Linked DNA regions of Caenorhabditis elegans. The protein of the gene in region 1 purifies or fractionates together with the protein of each later gene. This does not show direct contact. Each region holds a gene or a part of one and is shown in the gene's direction. Other genes may lie near its edges. The genes, in order: nrde-2 and bath-31.

What was found.
Region 2: the proteins of nrde-2 (region 1) and bath-31 fractionate together in Caenorhabditis elegans (co-fractionation; one large-scale study listed by BioGRID). This does not show direct contact.

What each region holds. Positions count from the first base shown.
Region 1 is NC_003280.10:10,239,855-10,253,006, reverse strand, and holds nrde-2 (Nuclear exosome regulator NRDE2), read left to right. Parts: upstream 1-5,368; 5' UTR 5,369-5,396; coding exon 5,397-5,439; intron 5,440-5,496; coding exon 5,497-5,558; intron 5,559-5,607; coding exon 5,608-5,721; intron 5,722-5,766; coding exon 5,767-5,843; intron 5,844-5,888; coding exon 5,889-6,301; intron 6,302-6,475; coding exon 6,476-6,597; intron 6,598-6,646; coding exon 6,647-6,811; intron 6,812-6,856; coding exon 6,857-7,462; intron 7,463-7,544; coding exon 7,545-8,051; intron 8,052-8,123; coding exon 8,124-9,030; intron 9,031-9,090; coding exon 9,091-9,668; intron 9,669-9,717; coding exon 9,718-9,821; intron 9,822-10,083; coding exon 10,084-10,198; 3' UTR 10,199-10,411; downstream 10,412-13,152. Other genes in the region: F54B3.1 (Protein SZT2), read right to left, coding at 320-797, 844-1,014, 1,199-1,490, 1,655-1,713; atad-3 (ATPase family AAA domain-containing protein 3), read right to left, coding at 2,136-2,535, 2,583-3,595, 3,642-4,016; mrps-14 (Small ribosomal subunit protein uS14m), read left to right, coding at 10,517-10,593, 11,085-11,258, 11,377-11,473, 12,342-12,593. UniProt on the Caenorhabditis elegans protein: Protein of the nuclear speckles that regulates RNA exosomal degradation. Involved in short interfering RNAs-mediated silencing in nuclei.
Region 2 is NC_003280.10:3,726,362-3,735,739, forward strand, and holds bath-31 (BTB domain-containing protein), read left to right. Parts: upstream 1-5,611; 5' UTR 5,612-5,664; coding exon 5,665-5,777; intron 5,778-5,822; coding exon 5,823-6,358; intron 6,359-6,402; coding exon 6,403-6,554; intron 6,555-6,596; coding exon 6,597-6,716; 3' UTR 6,717-6,820; downstream 6,821-9,378. Other genes in the region: C46E10.8 (C2H2-type domain-containing protein), read right to left, coding at 309-389, 433-531, 575-727, 791-853, 903-959, 1,008-1,073; Zinc finger protein sdz-12, read right to left, coding at 3,791-3,970, 4,022-4,120, 4,188-4,367, 4,411-4,629, 4,686-4,826, 4,891-4,947, 5,071-5,187.

The sequences.
Region 1 (13,152 bases):
CCGCTGTTCGAAAAATCGCAATTTTTCTTCGGAATATCGGTAATTCAAAAAAAAAAAAAGAATCATAAAATATGATTTTTTAATTCTAATTTTGTTCATAATTTGAGAAAAAACCAAAATTTGAAGCTAATTTTTGAAAAATCGAAAATATTTTTTTAAAAACCTTTCTTTTGTGAAATTGAATTTTTTTTTCGTTTTTCCACTTATCTGTAAAATCTGTTTTTTTTTCAGAATATCAGAAAATCGAAAAAACTTTTTTTTTTCAATTTCTGGGAAATCTAATTTTTTTTGTTCCCAGCCCTGTGACTTGATAACTCACTAGATTGAGTATTTTCGGGGAGCATCTGAATCTGTAAAAGACCCATTCGAAGCATAAATATCAGCGACCAATCCGGTGCAACATAACTCTTATCACTTGCAAATGACAATTGTTTCTGATCTTCATGACGTTCAGTTGCAGACCATATTCCACGTTGTATTGACATAAGATTCCCACCATCCATTGCTCTGTCTGCATCTCCATCATTTTTGTGTGAAGTCGATGCTGCGGAAGATTCAGATAAGTGAATATTTTCCGCTGATGGTACTTTTCGACTGCAATCTTCACTCTGCGAGTCACTCTCACAAAGTGAATCGAATTTATTGTGCTTGTGACGACGTTTCAGTTTTCCCCACATTTCGAGAATCGGACGGGAGAAGGTGAACAGTCGTTTGTAGATGTCGACGAACTTTATCTCAACCGATTCAATTACCATATCAACATTTGATTCAGTGACGAAGACTCCTTGGCATAACGTCTGAAATAATTTATGAATTCGGATGCAAGCGGAAAAAAGAACGTACAAAAGTCTCCTCAAACTTCATAAAAGGTGTGAACAAGCAGATGGACGTGTGAACTTGAGGACGAAAAATTCGATTCGTTCCGGGTATGACAAATGATTTTACTGATGATCGTAGAGCATTTCGAAGGCTTGGGATGATTCGATCAACGAGGCAACAGTTGGATTCATCGTCCTGAAAAATTACGTGATTTCGCACAATTGCTCTGGGCTGGGACTTGTTAGGTTTTTCATTTGTTTTTTTTTTTGGTATTTTGACGAAACATTGATTTTTTGGTTTTTGGGACCAAAAAACCAAGGCTCATTTTGTAGAATTTTCAGATGAACAATGCAGCGCAGCCGTGCCAAAACCAACTCACCGCCATAACAACGGATGGACTGAGATCAAGAACAAAAACAATTCGATAATATCTGGATATATATGTGCATTTCGTTCTGACAGTCACAATGAATTGCTCGTCTCCAACGACTTCTGTACCATCTCCTCCGGCTGGTACAATCCCGATGACTGTCATCTCTTGCCTGTACTCATCTTTTGGATCTTTTGATGGTTTATATGATGAGCATTGTGGAACTTCTTCGATTGATACGGCCTTTCCGAGATGATCAATGTACCAATGTGCACGAAGATTGCGGGATGCACGGAAGATTCTGAAATTATTGTTTTTCAGGATTTCTGATATTGAAAATTGTGGTTTCTAGCTTTTTATTGTTGCTTTTCTGGAAATATTAGGCTAAAAGCTCATAAACGTTTAATTTCAATTGATTTCTTATTTTCTGAAAAAACCATATATTGCCAGCTTTTTCCTTCTTACCTGTGCATAAACAGAAAGACCTCTCCGGCCTCCCGCAAGTTTTTTGTTTCAGTATCCATTTGATCGTTTTAATCGAACATTTGGGCTGAAAATTATTTTTTTTGCTTTTTCTCTTCAGAAGCTTTCAAAATATGAAAAATTGAAGTGCAACAAAAGCGATTATTAGTTAGTATTACATTAAAATGAAGAGTTTCTTTATTAACAAAAAAAAAACAATAATCTTTCACTCTACTTAAATTACTACACAAAAACTAAATAAAAATGACTGACCTAGAAAATAAGGGGAAAACGAAAAAAAACAATAGAAAAACAAGGGCCTAATTGAATTATCTAAAAAAATTATATTATCAGCAAAATTTCTGATTAAGAATGAAATTACGAAATTACCGGAAGTTTGAAGATTTCAGAAAAGAAAAAACAACAAAAAAACGTAAATAGAAAACAATAGAGTATCATGAACAAGGAAATGAATATTTTGAAATTAAACAGCAGTTTCTCTCTTCAACGTAGTTCCGAACTTGACTTCTTGGTTACGAGCTTTCAATTGCTCCTTCTCAAGCCATTCCATCTTATGTTCATGTTGAACCATTGCGTCAGCAGTATTACGATCAACGATAGCCTCGGTGAGCACTCCGGTTTCAGATGCATATGCAGAAGCTTGCCATCCGATGACAAGTTTACTCAATTCTCTTCCACTCATTCCAGATGTCTTTTTGGCAACTTCATTACACTTAGCAACCCAATCAAAGTTATCGAGTTTCAGTCGTTGAGAACGAGATCCACTAGTTGCTGGAGTGACGATGTGCTCGTTGAAGTATTGCAGAAGAATTCGTTCACGTTCTTCCATTCCTGGCAGTGTGAATTCGACAAGCTGATCGAAACTGAAAAGAATAATAAATTCTGTTTTTTATTTAAAAAAAAGGATTACCGATCGTTAACTGCCCAATCGAACTGCTCTGGCTGATTAGAAGCCACGACAAGCATGAACTTTCTCGACTGCTCTCCAGTTCTGAAGAGGAAAGCGTTGAGAGCTGCACGTGTGTCTTCAGACATTCCATTCTTTGATCTCTTTTGCAAAAAAGCGTCAGCTTCGTCAATAAAAACAATCAACCCTTTGCGACTTTTTGAAGCCCAGTCGAATACTTTATGAATTGCAGATACTCCATCACGTCCAAGTGGAGCAATATCTCCTCCAGTGAGAACTGCGTAATCGAGTCCGGAATGTTGAGCCAAACTCTTTGCGAAAAGTGTCTTTCCGGTTCCTGGTGGTCCGTAGAACATTACATTACGGAAAAGTCCATTATTTCTCTTTGTGTTTGAGGTGGTAATGGCAATATCACGAAGACGACGTTCCAAAGCAGGTGGTAATACAACTCCATTCAGTGGATCCTTCTTCTGACGAGTCATCATTTGAACACTTTTAATTGGGTGTTTGAGTACTTCAAGTGGAGTGATTCTGGATGTTTCTCTTACAAGACTTGGTTTTCCGAGACGAGATTCGATGTATCTTGCGGTGACTCCAGTTCCTCGTTTAGCGGTATACCAGCCGACAGCCAAAGCAGTCAATCCTCCTACTGCAGCAGCGATTTTCGTTTTATCATTCAAAAATTGATTGAGTCCAGAACCGATAAGTTCTCCACTGGTTTTAATTTTTTCAATGACAGTTTTTCGGTTCTCTTCTTCGTGAAGCTTCATTTGCTCTAAGTTTACATCTCTGTTATCTCGAGCAGCCTTTGCCCTGGCTCTGGTCTCTGCGTCAATTTTCTCGAGCTCGTATTTGTGTTTTAATGCTAACTCATGCTCAATAGTTTGCTTGCGAAGTTGTTCCTGCTTCTTGACAGACTCTTCTTGTTTTCGGAGGCTTTCTTCCTGCATTCTAGCTTTCATGGCAAGCTCCTCTTCGGCTCTCTTTCTGGCCAATTGATCTTGATATTCAGCACGCTGAAATTATTTAGTTGTTATGTATTCAGATGTTTGGAAAAATTACCGAATGCGCATGTTTAGTCTCTTCTCCCAAAGTCTTCCTCCGTTCTTCTTCAGCAACACGAATGTGCTCTGATTTCATATTGGCCAATTGAGCTTCGATCTTCTTGGTCTCGTTCTCGACCTCTTTTTGGCGTGTAACTTCTTGCATTCTCGACAATTCAAGAGCTTCTTTGGCATTTGGAAATTTCTCTAGATCACGAGCAGCCTTGGCGGCACGCTCCAAAGCTGTTGAGTCGAAGGAATATGCCATTTTGCTGTTTCCCTCTTGCCGTTGGCCTTGACCTGGTTGTTGTGGACCGCCAGGAGCAGCACCTGCTTGAAAATCATCCGGAATCTGCGGAGTAGCGTTTTTTTGAACACCAAATAACCAAGACATCTGAAAGAATAGATTGAAGCTTGGGATGGTGCAAAAATATTCTAAGGAATATTGATTAAAGGAAATGATTTATATATGTACTTATGCCAAAGTATGAAACAATAATTTCTTTAAAGGAATGAAATTCGGAGAGACTTTGTGTAATCCTTGAAGAAAACGTAGTATTAAAACAGAGTTGCAACCTTTTCAGTAAAATTAGATGATGCAAAACAGATTTTCCGGCTCATTTTCCCTGAATTTAAAGGACCTGCCGTCAAAAAAGACCTGCCGTCGTTATAATTCACGAATTTCTATTTTTTGAAACACATTCTGCATTGAAAAATAAACTTTAAAAAATTAAATTAAGATTGTTGGAAAAAAACAGAAATCGCTAAGGCAGATTATGCTCCAATGACATTTTCTGACGCATTTCTCGATATCGTAAAGTGCGCCAGCGTTCAAAGGCCACATCTGAGGCCCCACGAAAAGGGGAGCAGAACGAAAAGGGGATCTGCAAAAAGGGGATCTGCGAAAAGGGGAGATACGGAAAGGGGAGATACGAAAAGGGGAGCAACGAAAAGGGGATCTGGCACTGTGCCAAACGCTATTTTTCTCGAAGAAAACGATACAACGATTGTCGCGAATACGCAGAATACTGATGTTCCGCCGATCACGACTGAGAAATGATATTAATACCCAGGAAATGCGTCAAGGAAATATTAAAGAATTATTATGATTATTACGAAGTCTTTCCGTATTCTAAATGCTCACGACAATCCACCGAAGTCATCAACAACGACAAAGCCGGGAAACTCCTGTTTGAAAGCCGCGCCAAAAGACACACACGTCACGAGTGTTACAGTACTACCACACATGCACATCAAACCCCAACACGTCGACACCGCGCAAGGAAATCGTCACTTCTTCGTTTTACTCCCGGACCGGCAGGTCGCATGTTAAATATGAGCTTTCTCATTTTTATCATTCAACGGATTTATCAGTAATAAATTATATAATTCTACCACTTTTGAACCTATACCGATCCGAAACATGGTGCATCGGCTCCGATGTTACGCGTCGCGTGTTGTTAAGCGTATCTTCTAGAAGAAAACTTCAAAAATCAACGTGCGTTGCGTGAGAAAAATTGCGTTTTGTGCGTTTGGCACAGTGCCAGCTCCCCTTTTCGTATCTCCCCTTTTCGTATCTCCCCTTTTTGCAGATCCCCTTTTCGTTCTGCTCCCCTTTTCGTGGGGCCTCCCACACCTTTGTTTTTCTTTTCGAACAGTCACATTTTTCCTTTTTTTTTTTGTTTAAAACTTTCTTTCTTTCATTAAAAAAACAATTATGCAAATTGTGAATTAAGCTGTTTTCAGGGTAATATCATACCAAACTTAATGAACAATGTTTCGAGCGTATGGAAATAATGGATTGAAAAATCCAGAAAGTAAGTTTTTTCTACGAATTCATCTCATTTTTATAAATGCAAAATTCATTTTTCCAGGAATTTCTGGTGAGAATCCAGATCTTTATACGCAAACAAGGGCTGCTGTTCAACAACGAGCGGTGAGAAATATTTAGTTTTTTTTTTCATCTTTCATGCGATTTATTTCAGACTACCACTCTAAAAAGAAACGAAAAACAGAAACTCGCCGTGCAGAATGACTCTGTTTTTCAGCAAGTTGGAATTGGAGAATCTGATAGTGATGACGATAATGGTGGTGTTCGGGTGAGGCCAGTGACATTTAAACTTTAAACTTATTTTTGCTTTCAGATTAGAATGAGCCCCCACAGGTACATTGATCCAGATGATGTTTTCACTCTCCCAGAGGTGAAAAAGCAAAATGCCTTGTGCGTAAATAATTTTTCTAGTTTGAAAATAATATAAAATTTCAGGAGAGACGCGAAAATTGCGGCCCGAGCAGCTCAGGCAACTGCTTACAATACATTTCCGTCCGTTAAAAGCTTAAATGGTTGCCAAGATCCACCAGAAACAAGTCAACAATCCACAAGTCGTAAACGTTCAGCAAGCAACAGCAGGAGTCCATCGAGATCTCACAGTCGCCGATACGATCGGGATAATGGCAGGCAACGCAGCAGGAGTCGTGAAAAGAAGAGAAGAAAGAAGGAACGCAGACGAAAAAGATCCAGTAGCCGAAGCTCTAGTTCATCTCGTTCTCGGGATAGGTCATCTCGTGCTCGGGATACGTCATCTCACACTTTAATGAAAATGAACAAACCTGCAAAATATGCATTTCTCACCGATGAAGAATATCGCACGTGCGATGCGTACATTTCATCTGCGTTTAGTAAGTTTTTTCATCGAAAAAAGTGATCATATCACAATAAAGTTAATGCTTATTTACGATTCAAAGTTAAAATATATTTAGAAATTAAATATTCATATTATCGCCAGCCGGCAAATACTGCGCAATTTTCAAATTATTGTTAATTTAAAAAGTTCCAACGAGAAAAAATTACAGTTACTCAAACTAAAAGTGATTGTGAAAACTATACGCAAGGAGTTCCGAAGAAAGAAATTGCCAAGTGTCGATTGAGTGTCAAGTTTATTGTCGGTTTGGAGCATAACAATATTCTGTTCAACGTATGTTTTGGCACTTATTTTTTAATCTTTTCAAAAAACCAGTTTTCAGAATATTTATGGAGCGGAATATGCCAGAGACAAGGAAAACCGCCCATTCTGGGAGCAGCTGGATAGATACTTGAAGGATGTTCCGAAAGAGACATTCTTTCGATATGTGCCTCCAGTCGGCGGTTACTGGAAGATTCGTGACAGAGTTGATTTATTAAATCTTGATGTGAGTTATTTTGAATATATCGGAAACCGAAAACCAAGATTTCAGCACATTGACGATGATGTTCTAGCAAACGATTCGGATAATCGAAAAGATGCGTTCACATTTGAGCTCGAACAGGCGAAGAAAACATTTTCCGAAAATGTTCATAACATTGATGCTCTAATCAAAGTAATTTCAATGGAAGAAGAAATGTGTCGTCGGAATGTTGGAAGTTTCTCCAGTTCAAATCCAGCAGCTCTTGCCGAACGTCACCAGGAAATGGTGAAAAAAGCCATTAAAGCCGACGGTAGAAATGCAAAACTTCGATTGATGAAAATTGAATTACTCATCAAAATGGATCCCAACTCTCCTACTATTATTGATGACTTCAAAAATCTTACCATCACATTTCCACATGAACCAATGGTATGGATCAAGTATTTGGACTATATACAATATGATAGCAATGTGTACAATTACAAAAAATTGAAGAATGCATTCGAAGATTGTATCCGACAAGTGACTGGATTGACAAATGGAACACTTCTTTCACATTTGAATGCTGTTAACGATAGACCATTGCTTAGAATGTTCCATTTATGGATTTATATTCGTTATTTGAAGTGGATGATTTCCTGTGCACACACGCCAGTGGTACTGGCAAACATACAGGTGAGATTTTAGGAAATACTAAGAAACCTTTGGTTTTGTGAGTATTAAATCACTTTTTTTTTCAAGATTTTACTTATTTCAGGCCACTTTTGAATACAATTTTGGACTCGCTGATGTTGAAAAGCGGACGAGCACTAATTCAAAAGAACGGGAAGTCAGATTGGAGGAATTCTGGGAATCTGGTCTTCCGCGAATCGGCGACGAAGGTGCTGTTGGTGCAGAGAAGATGCTTAAACAATCGGAAGAATTATCTGATGAAGATATTCAGAAATTGGAAAATGATGATTTTGATATTCTTATTTCACGCACCGAGGAAACAATAGCGACGTGTCTTCAAGCTCAACGGGACGTGCAGATTTCGTGGATCGAAGTTGAACGAGAAATGATGAACATCGATGCTCGCGTGAAACGGACGAAACTGAAAGATTGTGAACTTTATGAAGATCATGTGGACGACTTAGAGACATGTGAACTCTGGGACATCATTCCTTTTGATAGAATTCGATATTATGAAGCACCAGGCGATTGTGCTAATTTCGATTTTGTACAACCTTTTTTGGAGTTGCTCGGCGTCAAATTTTTAAATTCGGTAAGCAAATTTCAACTAATATTATGCTTGAAATTAATTTTGAGGAATTGTAAAAATACTTTTTTTTTCCAGACGAACTGCTTCACAACAACCGAACAAATCATTTCTGATTGGATTTCTAATGATTCTACTGTTAACTTCTACAAAACTCCGACTTATACCGAGAAAAAGTGCTTTGAAGTTGGAAATAATATTCTGAAGTTTATGCTTTACAATCGACTCAAACTGACCGAAAACAATCCTGAATACTTGGATAAGACTATGGTGAAGTACTTGCTGGCAATGCTCGTCACCGAAGCTTCGGAACAGGAGAAGAAATTGAATTTCCACAGTTTTAAACTGAATCTTAAAAACTTGGTTGGAACATTCATCACTAAACATCCAGACATTTTCAAGCGTGCCATGCTGAGTAAGATCACAGGAATTGTCTACATGGAAAAGTTTGTGTCTTGGTGGGAGCGTGCACTGAAAGAACAGGAAAAAGTAGTGGAAGCTGACGAGAGAAGGAAGAATTATAAAGAGATCAAGATGGAGGAAGGCGTCGTAGATGATGTTAAATTCGATGTCATATTGTTAAAGAAAGACAAAGAACGAGTGCAAACAATTCGTGATAAGATTAGGGATATGATTGATATAGCTATCCCCAAATCAACAGAAAAGCTCATTCAGAGCGCTGATTCTTCATTGCCAACGCTTCAATTACATCTTTATGCCAATGTTCTACGTGGAAGACTTTCTATTCTAAATCAAAATGCTTTAGAAGAGACTCGAGATGTTTTCTGTAAAGAGATTCTTGGAATTCACACTTCGGAATTTGAAAGTGATGAAGCTCTCTTATTGGCATTGGATCAAGGATTGAACGAATTGCTGGAGCATTGCAAGGAGAAGGACAATCTTGAATCGGTCGACAGTATACCAGAATTACCAAGAGCTGAGGCACTGTGCGAAGCTTTGAAAGTTGTGGCGGTATTTGTTTTCTGTGAGTTTTATAGTCTTTGAGTCTTTGTAAAAATTAATTGATTATTTTATTAAATTTCAGTGGACAAGATGGCATTCAGCAGGCGTGCAGTCGACTGCCTCATTGCCAACGCGATCACCAAATTCGAGCAATTTGAAGCCAAGAAAAATGATTTCAATCGTGGAACTTATGAAAAATACTGTGATCAGATCGATTTGAAATTCATCACGGACACTCTCATAACCTTCTTTTCGCACAAAAAACACCGTTTCATCTACAATGAAAACTTCAAAAAGTTGATCTTCCAAGCATCGCAAGCGTTCCCATGTGATTCGAAATATGCGAAGATGCTCGGCGAGCTGCATTCCAGCGGTCGTCTGCAAGTGATGAAGCTTCAAGGATTCACCGACAGCAGAAATAGTATTTTGAATGCGAAACGAGATCAGCAATTTGATCCAGAACTTGAAACTCGTCTTCTCATGAACTCGTTGACTATTATGTTCTCTTGGATGAATGCAGCCAACCGGATTGGAGACGCCGGAAATCAAATCCTCTATAAAAATTGGAAACGAGAAGCAGCTAATACACGTGATCCGGCTATCTGGAGACAAGTTATAAGAGTTGCCAGTAAATTGTCACAGAAGATTCTAAAGGACGATGTGAGTTTTCAGGAAAAAAGGTTGTATGTGAAATTTAAATTTCTTACAGGCTTACACTCGTGCAAGAGGTCAATGTACATGGGCTCTCAATTTGCACTTTGATTATATTGAAGCAAAAACTGTCCGCAAGAATGGAGATCTAATGGAGATGATGTAAGTTCAATTATTGAGAGCAAAGTTTCAGTTCAAAAATGTAATTTGTTGTGCCCGATTTTTGAAAATAATCAACTAAGATTGATTTTATTACAATGTTCAAATTATCGAAGTATAATTAATTTAAATCGTATTATTTTTTTTCGATTTCTAGTCTAGTCTATATACAACAATACAATACAAAGCGAATAAATTTTATTAAAACGCTATGCAATTATAATCAGCACACATGCCAATGCATTCTAAATAACACTATTTACAGCTACCTCATTCTCGAACAAAGCATGGGACAAGAGCATAGTTTATTTGTGACCGACGAGGAATACATGAAAACACAGCAGGAAATTGGACTACAGTATTCCGAATCCGGACGTTGATTCTCTCTTTTTTGTGTAACTCGGCCTATAACTTTTTTAAAAATCCATTCCATATAATTATCCACCGGTATTCATTTCATCCCAGGAATCTTTCTTTCTTTTGTTCTTTCTATCCGACAGATTATGTTTATTTTTGTATTATAATTCTTCTGTCTTTTCGCATTTTTTGTTTCGGTAAAAATTTTTTGTTTTCAACAATGAAAATATTCGTTTTAATGTCATATTTCTTTCATCATGAAAGAGGTTACACTTCCTCCAACCAGTTCCTTCCATGCATGAATAATTGTATTAAATATGTATTGCAATGTATGTGCACAGATGTTGAGGGCACTCCGCGGAGCAGCGGACCTACTATCGACGGCTCTTTACAAGAATGAAATGATGATGAGTAGAAGGTGAGTATAGATTTCTCTAATTATTATTTAAACTATGCGAAAATCCTGCTTTTGGCGAAAAATTTTGATGTTTTGCTTTTTTTACACTCGAGAATATTTTAAACTTTCAATTTATAAAATTTGTTTAAGCGAAAATTTTTCGTTGAAAAAAGTGAACCTGCCACAAAATGGAAACGTTTTTAAAAAATTAATTTTTAGAATTTCCCTTTTTTTTCCGAAAACTTACACTTGAAATTAGAAGTAAAATGCAATTATTATTAAAATATTCGAAAATTCTCAACAAAAAAAAACGTTTGAGGCCTGCGAAATTACTCGTATTTTTGACGAAAAGTTCAATTTTTGCTTTTTTATTCGAAAAAAAAACTAAATGGAAAACTTTTTTTTTGGTTTTCAAATTTCAAAATTTGTTATTCGAACTCAATCCTTTTCTCGCGCTGAGAAAACAGGAATTATCGTCTTATGGCTTAATTTAAATGTCCAACAATTTCCAGATATTTATCAACTCCAGCTCCTGAACCTGCAAAACCATCATCTGAAGAGACTACGGAATCCACGGAACCGGCAACATCTGTAGAAGATGCTGGAGAACCTATGAAAGAGAAACGAATCACTCAACCATATTCTAGCGAGGCGCTTACAAAATTGAAACTTGATCAGTATCCATTGTAGGTTTTTGGTTTTTTTTGTATATTTTTGAAATTATTGCCTGCCGCTTTTTTATTCTCAAAGTGAGAAAGAATTGCACATAAACTATACACTTGTATTGAATATACGTTTCTATAGATACGTGGAGAGAGAATGGTGGAAAACCGGAAAACGAATGACATTCTGGGCGAGTTGGCGTCAGTTGAGAGATGTCAAACGACGTGAGCAGATTCAGGTTGGTTTCTATTTTTTATACGAATATTGTCATATGTGCTAAAAATATTTTTGGTTTTTATTTCAAACCAAAAAGGAAAAAAATTGAAATTTGTAAAAGAACCAAAACAAAAAATACCAAAAAATACGAATATTGTCATATGTGCCAAAAAATTTGTTTTAAAGGATTAAAGGATTAAAGGACGATCCGTTCTTCAAGTGCTATGCACTGCGGATCTGGGATTCAGGTACACTGCCTGGTGGTGATCCCTCTGGGCTGTAATTTAAGCCACGTCCTAGCCGGGGACTGTGGCCGATAATCCAGTCGTGGATTGCTCCACTTCCCAATAGAGGCTGGGTGAACCTAGGGGGTGAGGCCGGACTTGAACTCGTGACCTCCAGACTGCTAGCGGCCACCACTACCGACAGAGCTAAAAAACATCAAAAACCATAAGAATATTTACAAAATATAAATTGTTTAAAATACAAAAAAAAAATCGCATTTTTCTTCGTGCCAGAATACCAAAAAACACCAGGGCTGTCACCAAAAAAAATTTTCCATAAACAAAAAAAAGTTTTTCGCTTCTTTTCACATGTCTGAAATTTTTTAAATATTTTTTTTATTCGAAAACCACCAAAAAATCGTTATTGAAAATCATTACTTTTTAAAAAAACAAAACCCCACAAAACAGAAAACCCAAAAAAAAAACCATTTTTTGTGACGAAAAAACCAAAAAATTCCCTTTTTTATTAAAAAAACCCCCACAAACCAAAAAAACCAGAAAAAACCCATTTTTGTAACAAAAAACCCCCGACACCCCCATTTTTGACAAAAAAGCCTTAAACAAGCCCAGGCCTGCTGCTTGCCCTTGATTAAAATTTAATTTCAGGAAGTCGGCGCGGATCGTATGCGTCTAAAAGCTATCAAATTCAACACAATTCTCCCGCAAGCGATTCGTGACGAAGCAGCCGAGAAAATGCAAAAAGCTCGAAAATACGATCATCCTCGTCTGATTCTCAATATGTGCCAGTTCACAGGACGACAACGTGGAAAGATAAAGCCATACAGATTGAGTAGACACTTGTTCCGTCGATTTGCAGATAGATCAGCTCTCAGTGGAGTCCAAAGAGCCATGTGGTAGTGTGAGATAGGAGTTGTAGTTTTAGATTTATTTGTTTTCTATTTTTGATTTCTTCTTCGTTTTGAACACTTCTTTTGTTATCGATGCTCTTAATGAATTATTTTTGTTTTATTGTGATATAGATTATGATATCTCTGTATTGGTTATTGATCAATTAAAATACTTTTTTTTCAGAAAAATTATTATTTTCAGATGTTTTTCTGTCCATCAGTGTGCGAGCGTGCTCCACAGCCCCAATACAATGGGTCTCGTTAGTTAATTGGCGGCAAAAGCCTAAAAATTCAAACGTTTTATTTTTCGGCAATCAAGGATGTCTTCGAAAAATGTCTGCTTCAGAGATTCACTGTTTTGCCTCCAATACCTAACGAGACCCAACTATTGGAGGCGGATCCTGCTCATTTCGCTGCTGAGCGCGCTTTCACATTGATCTCAAAAAACGAATTTTTCTGCGGTGTCGGCTTCAAAAAAAATTTCCAGAGAAATCGCTATTTTTTCGTTTTCCCATTGTTCACAAATTACATTAAAATTTCGGTCAATTTGCTTCCTTTTAGTGAAAAAG
Region 2 (9,378 bases), 6.5 Mb from region 1:
GAGGTAGATTCGCCAAGTAACTGATCTGCATTGAAAGTTGGGGATCCCATTGAGCTCATCGATTCGCCCCGTTCACAGAGCTTGCTGTTTGTTGGCAGAGCGCGTGGGGTTTGAAACTTCCAAAAAATAGTCAGCCTAAGTTGAACGCCAAAACTTCAAATAACTCACAGAGGTTTGACCATCTGGGGTGACTTCTCCGAGCTCTGATAATCCAGAGCTTTTCTGCAAATCTGCCTGCTCGCCGAGCTTTTGGCTTGACGCGCCGAATCCATCATTGCTTTTTGACGACAAGGATGCTTCTATCGCTCTCAACATCTCTCCAGATGATTGTGCTGCGAAGCTGCTTGATCACTTTGAATGGAGCTGAGCAATTGAGATGGCGGAGAAATCTGAAAATCCAAGCTTTTCCATACCACAATAATGAATTCTTACCATTGGCGCGAAGCACGAAAAAGAGGCGAGAACACGTGTGTCCCCGAGCTGTGGAGATCCAGAAGAAATAGCGCTGAGCAACGGAGCTGGTGGAACGATCTAAAACCCAAATAGTTTGCTCAACACAATTCAAAGCTCTTACCATAGTTGCAAAGCCTGAAGAAGAAGGAGCAGGTGAGCCCAGACTGGGAATTGCATGAGCTCCAGAATCAGCAGTTTCCAGATGCTTTTTCATATGGCGGTTCAAGTATATTTTACTTGAGTAATGGGCTCCGCAGATTTCGCATGTATGCTTCTGGAAAAAGGTAGAGTTTCAACACAAAGGGATTTTCTGTTCAGTAAAAAAAACTAAACTCACACTTTTGTATCCAGCGACTTCCCGAGCATATTTGTAGCTCTTCAGGTGGGACTTCAGAGATTTCTGAAATTGTGATAATTGGAACTATAATTGGAGCAAAGTTTTCTCTTACCCTGCTCGCGTAAATTCTGCTACACGCTTTGCATTGGTAGACAAACTTGCCCAACTCCTGAATATTTTAATTGAATCTTTTGAAAACAAACGTGGAAAAAGTTACCTGAGAATGAACTGGGTCAAGCAACTGAGCAAAATTGGGAGCACCTGGGGTTACAGGCAGGTCCATTGATAGAAGAAAAAAGTATTTAAATGGTTATGAATGCCCCTTTACGGAATGGAGTGTTGGAGGCAAATATCGATTGAGCGCGCGGTATTGGCGGAGGGCAAATGGGAGGTCAGAAAGAGAGACGCAGAGAAAGAAAGAAAATATGTGTAGTTTCTAATAAGCTTCAAAAAAAGACTATTCGGCAGTTTTTGGGCGCCCGAAAAACCTTTTTTCATATTATATATCAATTTTAAGTTTCACTCGAGAACTAAAACTAGATTTATTGAATGGCGTTACGAAAAATAACTATTTAACAGTACGAAATTATCAATTAAAGTCCACTAAAATTATGATTGGCAGTAACAATATGAATTGTAAACGCCAGATTATCTTCACACTCAGCTCCACAAAATGAGCATTTGAATGGGCTTCCTGGAGCGTGAAGGGCATTGTGCAACAGGCTCATTGGGGCATCGTCGAATTGGATCTTGCAGTGTTGGCATTCCTGAGCTGGATTCTGAAGTTGAGCTGGATTCTGAAGTTGATACGGTCATAGGTGACCATCTGGTTGAGCAAGTTGACGCTGGAGCCGAAGAGGTCAGATCCTGAGAAGATGTATTAGTTTTGAAGCATTATATAGTTTTTTCTCACCGTAGAATGATAATAATAGTGATGAATCAGGAAATACTTGGCAGTTCCAAAGTGCTTGCGACATTTCCTACACGGAGCCAAATTGTGTGGTGAAACGAGGTGGTGGTGCTCGAGATGACGTTGAATTTCCAAATGAGACCGAAATTGCGTAAAACAGTTCAGCATGGGGCAGTCGAAATGAGATCGTTCTTTGAGATGTGTGTACAGATGCTCTTGTAGCTGAAAATTCTGAAAAGTATATAAAAATGAAATTAGTTAGCATACCCTATTCTCTCTGTGAAGCGTTTGTTGACAAATGTTGCACTTCTTGGATTTTGTTCCAGAATGAATTTTTCGATGGCGGTTTAAGTTTGGCTTGTTGGCGAATTGTTTCTCACAGATTTCACATTTGAATTGGCGATTAACCTGGAAAAAGTTTGTTGTAGAGGGAGAAGCTCTTTACATGAAGTTAAACTTACTGGCCTTACCCCATTAGAACCGGTGAGAGTTTGGTGCCTCGTCGAGCTCAATGAGTTGGCTGGCTCACAAACATTACTGCTTGTCGGAAGATCACTTGCGTACTTGAGCTTTCTCTCACTGAGCCTTGAACTCACTGAGCCTTGACCATCAAGGGTGGCACCGCTGAGCTGTGGTGATCCATAGTTTTTCTGAGAATCCGCTTGCTTTTCGAACTCCTGGTTTGGCATTCCATCATTGATCTTCAACGGCAAAGAAGCTTCCAAGGAATTCCACAACTTTCCTTCACAGTTTTCAAAAAAAGCTTCTGGCGTTGTCGCAACACCGGGAAAAGAGCTGAGCAACTGAGCTGGAGTAGATACCTGAAAACCAAAGATTTTGCTCAATATACAATTTAAACTCTTACCATAGTTGTGAGGCTAAAAGACGAGGGAAGAGAATCAATGTTGATATAGGTCAATGGTTTTTCTTCGAAGAGCCTGCTTCTCGTTGGGAAACCACTGGTGCCCGAACTTTGACTATCAACGGAAAGCTGTGGCCATCCATTGGCTGAAGCTAAAGCTGAAGACTCTATGAACAAGCTTTCCTGCAAATCCGTTTCCTTGCTGAGCTCCTGACTTGGCCCACCATCTATTCTTTCTGCTGACAAAGAAGCTCCCATCGCATTCAATAACTCCCCTAAAGTGTTCTGCGCGGCGTCTGCTGACGTTGTCGCTGATTCTACCTTCAGTCCACAATGTTTCTCTTTGAAATGAGCAAGGAGTCCTTGAACACTGGCGAACGGAGCTTTACACTTCTTGCACCTGGCCTATGTGGCGACAGAAAAGATGTTCGAGAAGTATCTTTTGCGAACTGAACTTCATCTCGCACTGACCAATAGGACACGTGAGATAGTTGGTCTGCATAGGAGCTGGAGAAGCGGCAGTTTCAGTTTCCAGATGACTTTTCATATGACTGACCAGGCTTCTTTGGTAATTGTATTTCGATCCGCAGAATTCGCAGGTGTACCTCTGAAATAGATAAGTTAGATAGAGTTAGATAGAGATAGATAGATTATGATGCCAAACGCTATCTATTAAGCACTAACGTCTTCGTAAGAAGACAGCCCAAGTCCACATTTGGTGTTCCGTATGTGATTGCTCAGAGATTTCTGAGAATGTAATTACTTGAACTGTTGCACCTTGCGCAATTCCTGAAAAAAAATGGATCCTTTATTAATTAATTTGTGAAAATTTTACAGTACCTGAGAATAAACTGGCACAAGAGCTTGAGCTTCAGGCAGGTCCATTGATAAGAGAGTAGAGGTGAAGGAATAAATGAACCCGCGCAGAGTGTTTTGGTGGGGCGCAATTATCGATTTGGCGCGCGGTATTGGCAGAGAGCAAATGGGAAGGAGAGTGAAGAAGATGTAGATAGAAAAAGAAACTATGCGTAGTTTGATCTACCAGTCCTGTATTCTGAAGACCAACTAATTGTTTGATTACTCCATAAAATCAGTGATCACGATAGAATAGGGTACTGTAGGTTACCGTAGTTATCAACAATTATCAGTTTCCTTCAAGGGCGAGAACGAGATTCATTGAGTACTTTTAACAAGAAAAAATATTAATTAAGCAGTAGAATCTTATCAATTAAGTTCCTATGCCACCAAAATCATGACTCGCAGTGATGATGTGCATGGTGAACACGATCTTATTTCCACATTCTGCTCCACAAATTGCACATTTGAATGGGCTTCCTGGCGCGTGAAGGGCGTTATGCATGATGCTCATTGTGGCATCGTGGAACTTGATCGTGCAGTGCTTGCATTCCTGAAGAGCTTTTGAGTTGATGAAAGTGTACTTTGAAACTTAAGAACTTACAAAGCTTGGGGTTGGCTCACTGGTAATTAGATTTCTAAACCTTGGCTCATTGGGGCTTAGAGTTGGTGAGAGCTGTTGATCAGTGTTTGGAAGAGTTGCCTGAAAATTTCAAGTCTAATGGTTTCAAAGAACGGCACCAAAACCAATATTGAAAATGAAAACATACCGAGTTCTGTTCACAGAATTCTTCGATCATCGGGGAAGTTCCTAGATTTATGCTCAATTTTTGAGGCGGCTTCTCTTGTGGCGAGATTGCCAACTGAGCTCTGGGACTTCCTGAAGTTGATACGGTGATAGGTGACAGTCTGGCGGAGCTTGTGGGAGCAGGAGCCGAAGAGCGCAGAGCCTGAAAGGATTGTTAAGTCTTAAAGAATTATAAAGCTTTTCACCTCTTTATGATCAAAATGGTAGTGTACCAGGAGATGCCTAGGACTCCCGAATAACTTGTGGCATTTTCCACACGGAGCCGATTCGCTGTATGAAAAGTGGTGATGGTTTACGAGATGATTTTCAACGCCCTCATAGAATACGAACTGCATTGAACAGTTCAACACGGGACAGTCGAAATGTGATCTTTCCTTGAGATGGTTGTGCAGGTGCCTTTGAAGCTGAAAATTACAAATTGCTGGAATTGAACAGGAAAAATGGAATAAAATCTGCTTGCCTGATCTTCCCTGAAGAATGTTCTCTGGCAAGTGCTGCACTTCTTGGATTTTGAACCAGAGTGAGTTATTTGATGACGCTTCAAGTTTGGCTTGTTGGTGAATTGTTTCTCACAATTTTCACATCTGAATTTGTGATTGACCTGAAAAAACGTATAGTTGGAGGAGGAGAAGCTCAGTGGCTTAAACATTTTCTCAAAAACTCACCACATTGGAACGTCCAGGCCTACACGTAATGTGCTTCATGTGCGTTCTCAGCGTTTTCTGAAAAATGGTAGTGAGCTCTATATACTAACTAGCAAAAAAAGGAAGATTATCTGCTGTACAGTAAATTTTGTAAAATTAAGATAAATTAACAACACTTTTTTGCTCACTTCAAAAACTAACCTGATTCGCGAACTTTCTTTTGCAAACTTGACACTGGGGCACCTTAGCAGAATCCTGATCCAAAGTGGAAGAGGTTGCAATAAGCGACAATACGGCGTCTAGTGATGACAAACTCATTTTCACAGAAGAAATCTCTGCGGATTGTCCGAGGGCAGGGAGGAAGGGGAGTGAGAAATGTTTTTGCGTAGTTGCAAAAAGAGGTACATAAGTTCAAAGACTGTGTCCTCGAAAGCTGTGAGAAGTTGCGTCACATATGACGTTGGGGCTTTTGGAGAAGCGGGGCCGACGAATTTATGAAATGTGTGTAATTGCACATTGTAGAGCTGATTGAGTTTTTCAGTATCTCAGTTTTTTCAGTAATTTCTCCATTGACGATGCACCTTCTTTGGGGGGAATATTGTAATCTTTAACAAAATTCACAACATTTTTGGAAGACCAGCTGCCAACTGTGCCAAATTTGCCGGGAAACGAGACGCTGCATTATGCATTATTTTATCGATCCACTAAGATTATCTCCTAGCGTTATTCACTCATAATCTGCCTCTACAAGTCTTCCTATTCGTCATTTTTCTGCAATTTAGTAGGTTAGTAGACATGCTCGTTATAACAAAGGAATTTGTGTCAACTTACACTATTAAAGCAATCTCCAACTTCAAGCCGGATACCACTTATTGCAGCGAGGTTAAAGAATATTACTATATTCCATGGTATTTTTAACTTTCCTTTTTTTATTTAAATTTTTATATTTCCAGGAAACTCCATGTCAATCGAAGAACTGATCAACTTGAGGTGTATCTTAGTTGCGACCAACTTGGCACAATTTGGTCAGTTCAGGCGAATGTTGAAGTGAAGCTTAGATCTCCCAATGAATCTCCCCACTGCAAAACAGCCACTGTAAATTTCAATAGTGAGAAGCCGAAGGAAAACTCATGGGGATGGAAGCAGTTTGCCGATTGGGAGAAAGTCGCAAAAAACTTTGTGATTGAAGATGCGCTACACTTTAAAGTTCATGTTCAAATATTGAACGCTTCTGGGTTCAAGGGAAGAGATCCGGTTTTGAAGTTCGACAATGAGTCTATGGGAGAGCTGTCCGATGTGGTTTTGGTAGTGGATGAGCAGAGATTTCATGTTCTGAGAAAGCATCTCGCTCTGCAGTGCTCCTACTTCAAATCCTTGTTCTTTGGCAGTTTCGGCGAGTCGAAGAAATCAGAGGTTACCCTCTCTGGGATAGACCCGGAAGCCTTCCAGGCATTTTTGGAAGTTCTCTATTTGGAGGACTCGATTGATGGTTAGTTTTTAGTGCTCACATTGGTAATAATTTAAAAATTTCAGACAATACCGTCGAAGGAATCCTTCAACTTGCTGACATGTACGATTCTAGAGCGGTTATTGGGAAATGCGAGAAATTTCTTTACAAGGAGTCCGAGAAGTCCGGGAAAAAGAAATTGGAATTGGCAATTAGATACAAGTTGGAGAAACTAGAGGTAAGTGCGTGCACCTGAATATAACCTTATTTTATCTTCCAGATTCACTGCTGCAACACCATCAAAACCATCCAAGATGTCCGCTCAATTATCGCTGGAAACATTGATGAAATGAGCCCATTCCTGATGAAGCGGGTCTTGAAGCGAGTTCTTGAAGTTTAAAAATTGTTCGTTTTCAAATATGAATTGCATTTTTCTAATAACTGATTTTTGGCCACTATTTTTTCTCTGTTTTCAATTGTAAAGTTTTATTTGCCAGTACAAAAAATAAATTTACGTTTTCTTTATATTATATTGATGAGAAAATTTGAAGACTTACAGAAGAAATTCAAATCATGAACCAGACCAAACCAGAAAAAGTCAAGTCAAGAATTCAAGAAACTTTTATCTAGCATTTCATAAAGTATTTTGATAAGACATATACATAGTTATATTTTGTGGAGTTTAAAAATATAGTTTTGAAAAGTGAAGTTCAAAAACATAGAAAAATAAGAAGTTAGAGGTTTCGAAAATAAGCTTAATTCGAAAGACTCGAAAAAAATCTCAAAAACTGGAAAAAATTGAAGATTTCAATCGTCGGACGGTGTTTGACAGTAACTCGTCGTCGTCGTCGTAAATAGAAGTAGTGTTGATTAGAAAAAACGATGGAATAAAGAAATCAGAACCTCCAAATAGAAAAAGTTCCATGAATGTTTTTAATTCGATAGGCACGCATGCCATGAACATCAGATTCCTCGGCTGAATTAGGCATTAGTAGCTCTGGGCTAGAGTGGGGATAATCATTGTAAATGTAGAAAATGAAAAGTTCAAGGTCTGGATTCAAAGCCTTTAACCCAGAGCTTGATCAATAATTTCAAATTGGAATTGGATAACGGGGTAGCATGGAGTGAAATCACTGGATTGTTCATCAATAGTAGGTCGTTAAGAGTCACAGAGAAGAAGATCGCAAGGTTAGAAACGTTGTGAAATGTTGTCCAATCATTTTTCGATTCAGACTTTCCGCCAACTATACTGATTTTTTCCACACATGGCAGGTATTTAGCCAGATTATTGTTCCCAGTGAACTCCCTATTCAAGACCTTTTCAACTTTCAATCCATCGAGATTTGTCTGAGAAAACTGAGATCTCGAGTTTCTGCAGACAGACGTCACAAAATATCGACTGAAAACAGACAGACGTCACAAAATATCAACTGAAAACGGCTGCACAGCTGTTATAGAGCAGATCAATATGAGCGTAATGGATTTACAGGACTGTTGGAAGTTTTTGGCTGCTGAGTTTTCAAATAGGTGTAACTCGAGAACTATTGCGCTCAGGAAAATGTTGTAAACTAACAAAGTGGTGCTCTTGATCTACTCTACAGTTTTGCAGTTATCAAGTTTTTACCAGCTTCACCCTGGAAAAAGTTAGAGCGGCCGACAACTTGCTGGACCAAATAATTATTTTAATTGAAATCTCAGTTGCTAACAAAACATGTTATTAATAATTTATTAATAAAATAAATTATCAGGGCCACCAAATAATTATAATTATACAGTGCGTCCAACTTCTATAGCACCCCCCTCCAATTTGGCGGTTTGGAGCTTCTCAAAATATTTTTTGAAAAAGTGCTAGTGCAGTTCGATAGCAAATGTTGAAAAACCTATGCTCCCCAATTTTTATTATGATATCTCAAAAATCACAGGAATCAGGTCAAAATATCGGAAAAATGGCCGTCCAACTTCTATAGCACCCCCTCTGATTTTTGGCAATTTTCGGTAAAATCGGGGTTTTCTTCTTAATTAATAAATTTATTTTGTGAATAACTTTACACCAAAATGTTCAGACGGTTTCATTTTCACATTTAAAAAATAAATATAACCCCTGAAAACACGTGGAACGCCTAGGATTGTCCTGGAACGTTCGTATTTGCTTCAGAGGCCATTTCTCGGCTCCCAATGATTTTCGCAGCACCAAACTTGACCAAAATGATCTTCCCCACCTATGTATTACTATTCAAATAATTGTTGAGAACATTTATTCATATGAACCAAATGGTAAAGAGAGCAACTGCAGTGATTTTCAAAAGGCTTGATTTAACTATGAAAACTAGCGTTTGGAAGCGCAGAGCTGATGGTTTTGACTTCCTATTGTACAGAATTTTAGCTCATCCGGTTCAAATATCCTTGAAGCTTTGATTTTGATTAGAAGTCTTCGAAAATTTATTCGGAAAAGTTCATGAGGCCGCAAGTATTTTTCTCAAGCTAACACGCGAAAATTTTAAAGACGAAAGTAAGATATAACTTTCTGAATGACGATTTTTCTAGCTGTATTTATAACTCAACTGAAATTTAGCGAATTTGCTCATTGAATATTTCTATGATCAAAGAACCTAAAGGCTAACAGACAAAACCTGAATCGGTGATTGTAGATGTCTAGCATTTGATGTATCCATGGATTTCCACAGATTTGATGTTCACATAATATAATTTTTATTTTTTTGCTTTAATTTAGTAATTTTTAGTCGAAAATGTATTACCAACCTTCAGCTCTGCTCCTCCAAACGCTAGTTTTCATAGTTAAATCAAGCCTTTTGAAAATCACTGCAGTTGCTCCCTTTACCATTTGGTTCATATGAATAAATGTTTTCAACAATTATTTGAATAGTAATACATAGGTGGGGAAGATCATTTTGGTCAAGTTTGGTGCTGCGAAAGTCATTGGGAGCCGAGAAATGGCTTATGAAGCAAATACGAACGTTCCAGGACAATCCTAGGCGTTCCACGTGTTTTCAGGGGTTATATTTATTTTTTAAATGTGAAAATGAAACCGTCTGAACATTTTG